Daphnia pulex: one gene and its partner. The protein of the gene in region 1 purifies or fractionates together with the protein of each later gene. This does not show direct contact. Links are inferred from orthologs where the notes say so. Each region holds a gene or a part of one and is shown in the gene's direction. Other genes may lie near its edges.

Region 1 (2,717 bases):
GACTTCAAATCAGGGATTTAAATTTTGAACGTGTTCCATCCTTTCAAACGTAGGAATCGTAATGCTGGAGCAATTCCCAAACATTTTCTGATAAATGGTATTGATATTACATTTCCTGTATAATCTGTAAAGCACAGAAACTGAACCATTTTCATTTTAGATACACCTAGTCGACAAGCAATGCAAAATGTTGATGGTTTCAAATGGAGAAATAACATTAATGGTATTTTTAAATATATTTATTTTGTTTAATATCAAATAACGCAATTCTTAAATATGTATTGTAGTGGAAACAAATGCTAGCAATGCATCAGTAAGGAAACGACCAAAAGTAGACAAAATACCTACTACGTCTAAGAGAAAAAAATTTGACAGTACAGGTATTGATAATAGTTCTCGTTACATTTTATTTTTAAGAGCAATTGCTTTAAATTTTATCTGATAGCACCCTCCATGGAAATTACCTCTACTATTAAAGAATCAATCAACATTCCCCAGGCTGCTGAAGAAGCAATTTTTGATCCACTTCCAGATTCAATCAAGGAAAATCTTGCTGTTGTCATGGAAGATACGACAGTTGCATCACCTTCTGTGGAAGCTACCTCTACTATTCAAGAATCAATGGACACCCACCAGGCTGCTGAAGAAGCAATTTTTGATCCACTTCCTGATGTTATGAACGAAAATGTTGCTGTTGTCATTGAAGATTCGACAGTTACATCACCTTCTATGGAAGCAAGCTCTACTAATTTCAAGTCTAATTTTGTGACATTTCAGTCACTAGTAACTTCATCAATGGTACCAAAGAATTGGACATGGTATTTTGATCAAATTAAACAAACGATTTTTTGCATTTCGATGGATCAACTACCAAATGAAAATTATAATGTGAAAAGTGTACACTTTCAAAACAAGAAGTAGTGTATTATGTCAACGGAACAATAAACAATTTACACAACCAAACAATAAAATGTAAGAATGTTTGGACACTTACAAAGAATAAACAATTTACGCAACCAAACAATAAAATGTAAGAATGTTGGGACACTTAGAAAAGACCTAGAGGTTTGACAGTTGGATACTTCTACCTTTTTATTTTGTTCACTTCTTGTAGAAAAGTAAGCTGTGATTGGTCAATGAGTTTTTCATAGACCCTTCCTGATTGGCTGGCTTCACGTAGTACCTGACACACTCACTAGAGGCGCTCATCATTTTTTCCAAATCGGACCACGTTTACCCTGAAACCGGGATAGGGAAGCCAACACGGCCGAGAACCGACCAGGTATCTATTGCTCTGGCTGGGGTGAAACCGTGAAAGCAAAAATGTAAACCCCGTCCGGCACGGCAGCGGTTTGTAGAAAATTTGTTTTGGAAAACACACGTGTGTTCGTCTGTCAAGAGCTCAATAATTTAACGAATTAAGAATGAAACTTTTAACTCACAATATATTGACTTCTAAATGTCTGAAAGGCGTAACAGTTGGGTATCCTCTAGGCATTGTTGTAAGTACTCTTTGATTAATCATTTTTTTTACCAAAATGAAATACTTTATATGTTTTACAGGCAAAAGAAGTTAAAGTGAATGAAGTTGATTTCAACCCAGAATTCATTTCACGGATGATTCAAAAAGTGGACTGGCCAGCTCTCTGTAAAGCTGCAGAAAATGTAAAAAGAAATCACGATTTGAATGCTACCCTTTAAAAACGGTTAAATATGTGTTGATTTTCTGTTTCTACATTATCTAGCTTGGACACACTGATGAACTTCCCCCAACTGTTGTAGATGACTATGAAAATAATGAAGAATTCTTGAAAAAAGCTCACCACTTTTTAATGGAGGTAATAATCTTCTTATTTTATTTATGTTCCATTTTTTTATTTACCATTTATTTAGATTGAAGTCATGAATGGAGATCTGATATGTCCTGAGACAGGGAGAAAATTCCCTGTTACTGATGGAATTCCAAACATGTTAGCTAATGAAGATGAAGTGTAACTGAAGTAGAAAATACAAGTCAATTCAACATGTGTCCAATTTTTTAAATAGTGCTTTATTTTCCATTCCAATTCACAGACTGATAATTTACTTTATCATTCTCATCCAAGCTACACATTAAAACAGTTTTCTTAACACTTGTTCCCAGACGACCTTTTTGTATCAGAAACCAAGGAGTCAACATCTGATGCTCTTCAACACACACAGCTATGAAATGTGAATGAAATTTTAATGGATCACCAGGATAAACCAAGTAATCACCACCAAATTTCTCACCAGATGTTATGTAATAACCTTTCTCCCACAAGTCACTGAACACTTTACACCTGAGAGTTGGTCTAACATTATAATCTAATGGCAATACTGATTCCCCCTGACATGTCCAGTGAGGCCCTACAACAAGAACAAAAAAGTAGATCATTCAAATGATCATTCATCACAACATTATTTATCTGATAAAGACTGATAATATTATTTCTTACTTGTAAAAATTTGAACCATCATCAAATCTTTAGACATTTTAGGAATTTTGTCTATTTCTTCTTGAAGGGCTATTTTCTCATCAACAGTCTTTCCATTCATTTTTCTTCTCTTGCCCTCAATGATTTTATCTGCCATTTGTAACAGCTGCTTGGTTCTTTCTTCCTTAAAGATAACTTCTTGGTCAGCAAAGCTTGCTTTGTGCATTTCCTCTATTTTCTCCTTGTTTGGTCCTTGAGCAG
Region 2 (4,148 bases), on another chromosome or scaffold:
ATGAGTCTGTAACCAAGTTGGATAGACATCATCTGGGGGAAGGGATCGGGTAAAAAAGGTTTTGGATTGCTCTTCTGCTTTTCTTTGATGCTGATCTCGTATCCACGAACGATTTTGTTTGATTTATTTACCAATTAGTTCCAATAAAATCTAAGTTGAATCCGTGCCGTTGTCTTTCTCTTTTTTTGTCTTTGCGGATTCCTGTACCAGTAGTCTGTCAGCTTGTGTGTCGATTAAACTTTTGTCAAGCTCATTGATTTAATCGTTGTCATTGAAGACGTCGTTAACTGAAAGATGTACTTGGTCGCTGTCAAAGGGGCTGTCATCGATTGCATTGTCCTTAATCGACGTTTCTGTTTCCTTATTATTCTTCTTTGTAATTTCTCATATTTTGCGCGCGCATTACCAGTACTTTAAATTTTCCTGTTCATCTGCGAAGTTTATGTTTGATAACGCGTTATTCGCTGGCGGCTGCTCAGGTTGCGTTTTCAGTTTGTCGTAGGGATCTGGAATCCTGTAGGTTCCGTTCGCTATTCGTTTTGTTTTCCAGATTTTTTTTTAGTCCATGACAATATCACAAACTTGCAGGCATAAAGCCCATCTAGCAAATTTTGTAAATTTCTTTTATTTCTTCATAAATTTCTTAACGGCTTGTAGTTGCTCAATGCTTGATTTTTCTTCCGTTTCTCTACGGGTAATGTTTCACAAGTATGTGAAACAGATCGGTTACAGGAGTCTGTAACAGCTCTGTGTGCTACCTGGGTAAATTTATGAAATCACACTGGCATTGGGCGACTGCGACGTAGTCACGGGAGTCACGTTTTTTCAAAAATTTTGCGCGCGCGCTCTTGCTCTGCCAGTCTCTTTTTTGTTTTGTTTTCTAATGATACGAGAATTTGTGATTTCAATTTATGTTTTTTGGGGGGGGTTGCGGTTCTACATTGTTCCCGTTAATCCCATTTCTGATCCTCAACAAGTACATCGTTTTATTGGTTTTCACATAATAACCATTTTCATCATCATTAATTACATCATTGTGTTTCATGCATAACACGGTTTTAAAATAATGGGGGCTTTTGGGGACAATTCCACGATGTTATACATTCCACGAAGTACCGTGTTGTCCAAGCATTGTGTGGGGAGGTATTTTTCAAAAAATCAAATTCCACGATTTCACTTTCCACGAAATACCGTGCCTCCGGCTATTTCCACGGGAGTTGGCTCCCCCCATTTGGGGGCGGAGTTAGGCTTTCCACGGCGCTTTTTCCACGGCTCACCGGTCCACGATCCACGTTCCACGCACATTGAATACCGGGACCGGGGACCCGTTTCTTTCTATCGATATTTCTTGGCCAAGTCGTATTTGCAAGCCGTACTTGCTTACTCGCGGATTGTGGAAGTTATAATAATTTAAAGGCTTTTTTAAAGAGTTTCGAAGGCCGAACGCCGAAGTTGTAATGAATTAAAGTGCTGCTTCTGATGCCCTCAAACAGCCTACAAAATAATATATAAAATATAACTGATACTGAATAACTGATATTTTGGCCTATTTGAACTCACCCCACCCCTCCCAAAAAATAGAAATGAAAAAAGTTAATGGGAAGAAAATTGCCAGAAAAATTGTCAGGTTTTGTGCTCATCTATCAAAAGACATGTCAGTAAACTTGCTAGATAATTTTTCTTCCTCACCTACCAATGTATTATGTCTGATAAATGCCGGTTTATTAAATGGATTCACTAGAGAAGAAATATTGGATATTTTTGAACATTTTGGGGAAGTTGAAAATCTGATAATGTTAGAAGGAAAATCTTATTGTGTTTTAAGCTTTAAGAAAGAAAATAATAGTGCTGAAAGCTACCAGAAACTAAATGGAAGTTTCTGCTTGAAGGATGAATCTAAACCTCTGTACTTGTGTTTTCTGAAGTGTATTGATGGTGAGGATTTACAGCAATAGCAGTATAAAGCATTTTGTAAGTACTAAGTTGTTTGTTTTCATTTTGGAATTTAGACACATTATTAAGTTTCCAAGAAACTTCAAAGGTTTGGCCCACTGGACTTAAATTGAAGAAAAATTTTATTTCATTGGGAGAAGAAGAAAAACTGTTATTTTTTACCCATACTCAGCAGTCTGAATCACAGACTTCACAGCTTAAACATAGAACAGTGAAGCATTATGGCTTTGAGTTTCTGTATGGTAGTAATAAAGTTGACAAAAACCCACTATCTTCTGGAATACCTGTTGAAATGGAGCCACTCGTAGAAAAATTTATGGAATTTGGTTTGGTGAGACCAAATCAGTTGACTGTCAATCATTATGTACCTGGACAAGGGATACCTCTTCACACAGACACACATAGTTCCTTTGAAGATGGAATTATCAGTGTATCACTGGGTTCTGATATTGTTATGGATTTCAAAAATAATAAAGGTGGAGAATGTGTCAGTATAACTTTGCCAAGACGTTCGTGCTTAATAATGACAAACGAATCAAGGTAAATGTCTATAAGAACTTCATTGTTTCGTCAAATCACCAAAACATTGGATTCAATTTTTAGATACATGTGGAGTCACGGTATTACGCCACGAAAATCTGATGTAGTTGATGCCGAGTTTGGAGGCTTGACCATTCTTCGGCGAGAAAAGCGGACGTCTTTAACGTTTCGTAAAATACGGACGTCGGAATGCGATTGTAAATTTACCGAATGGTGTGATTCACAATCATCAAAGGTCGTAGATTTTTCAGAAGAGGCCGCTGACCAAATCGAAAAAAATCATGTATTTCATGTTTACGATGGAATCGCATCCCATTTTAGTGAAACAAGGTATTATTTATTATCATAGTCGTATAGATCATTCTTTTAATACGTGTATTCCCATTAACGATAAATGATTAAGGCATTCGCCGTGGCCGAACGTAAAAGCGTTTATAATGAGTTTTCCTGTTGGGTCACTGCTAGTAGACATCGGTTGCGGAAATGGCAAATACTTCAACTGTTCGAGCTCATTGTTTAGTATTGGAACTGACCGATCAAGTCAACTATTAAAAAGTAGAAGATTAACAATCGAAATCTCTTTATATTTCCTAGGTGTCACATGAACTATTTTATTTCATTTTAGTTTGCAGGAATCGTGATGATCATCAGGTTGTTAAAGCTGATTGTCGCGTTTCGCCGTTTCGAGATAGTATAGCTGATGCTGCGATATGTATCGCCGTCATTCATCATTTGACAACCGATGAACGTCGTTTGAAAACGCTGATTGATATAAGCCGTACCTTACTTCCACATTTTAAATACTTTATTCCATTTTATAACTTGTTTTATTTTTTTTTAAGGTGTGCTGGTAAAGGGTGGTCGAGCTCTAATATATGTTTGGGCCAGAGACCAACAAATAGGAATGGAAAAATCTTCGTATCTGCTTCAAAAAAAGAGTGAGGTATCTAGTAGAGCAGAGGCATATCCTACAGCGGTTTTACCGGTACACGAAAATCGGACAAATTTCAAGCATGCTGATATTCTTGTTCCATGGAAACTTAATTTCCGAAATTCTAATTCCGAAGATTTAGAGAATAGAGGAAGCTCTGAGTCAAATCCTTCTACCTACCTGAGATTTTATCACGTATTTAAGGAGGGTGAATTAGAATATTTATGTTCCAGGGTTTCGAATATCACTGTTTGTCGTAGTTTTTATGATCAAGGTAATTGGTGTGTTGAGTTTAAGAAAGAATAGCTGAATAGAACATTGGTACAAAAGACAGATTTAATTTCGTTCATAGCAATTATTTCATCAATGCTATTACAGAACTAAAAACTGAGCAAGATTTCATTCCAATGTGGAATCCGTAACTTTTTCACTCGAGTCGGGAGGGAATTCGTAAGTATGAATGGGTAAACATGTCAATAACCAAGTTATCATTGAACCGTTTTGAATGTCCATCTCGCCATTATAAATAATTGGCAGAATAAAATCACCGCAGAATGTTTCTATGTCTTTATCAAAGGAGCTCCAGTCTAAAGTTTCATGGATTCCATCACCCCCGTAACGACGATTATAGCTATCGTAGTGCGGCTAAAATGCATTAATATATAACGCTCAATAATCATCACTGAGATTTTAAAAAAAGATGATTTTAAAATATTGATTAATT

The links. Proteins that work in one complex are often made in the same cells at the same time.
Region 2: the proteins of multifunctional methyltransferase subunit TRM112-like protein (region 1) and alkylated DNA repair protein alkB homolog 8-like purify together in Homo sapiens (co-immunoprecipitation; 3 studies listed by IntAct, with this or other methods). This does not show direct contact. The link is inferred for Daphnia pulex from reciprocal best matches to the Homo sapiens genes TRMT112 and ALKBH8.

Annotation. Positions count from the first base shown.
Region 1 is NC_060017.1:6,066,936-6,069,652, forward strand, and holds multifunctional methyltransferase subunit TRM112-like protein, read left to right. Parts: upstream 1-1,341; 5' UTR 1,342-1,424; coding exon 1,425-1,502; intron 1,503-1,563; coding exon 1,564-1,665; intron 1,666-1,745; coding exon 1,746-1,838; intron 1,839-1,893; coding exon 1,894-1,995; 3' UTR 1,996-2,000; downstream 2,001-2,717. Other genes in the region: uncharacterized protein LOC124191043, read left to right, coding at 181-223, 288-380, 446-921; tRNA-splicing endonuclease subunit Sen34-like, read right to left, coding at 2,051-2,388, 2,478-2,717. UniProt on the Homo sapiens protein: Acts as an activator of both rRNA/tRNA and protein methyltransferases. Together with methyltransferase BUD23, methylates the N(7) position of a guanine in 18S rRNA.
Region 2 is NC_060026.1:6,039,402-6,043,549, forward strand, and holds alkylated DNA repair protein alkB homolog 8-like, read left to right. Parts: upstream 1-1,337; 5' UTR 1,338-1,583; coding exon 1,584-1,935; intron 1,936-2,009; coding exon 2,010-2,493; intron 2,494-2,556; coding exon 2,557-2,823; intron 2,824-2,896; coding exon 2,897-3,048; intron 3,049-3,118; coding exon 3,119-3,271; intron 3,272-3,335; coding exon 3,336-3,730; 3' UTR 3,731-3,757; downstream 3,758-4,148. Other genes in the region: tRNA pseudouridine synthase A-like, read right to left, coding at 3,824-4,069.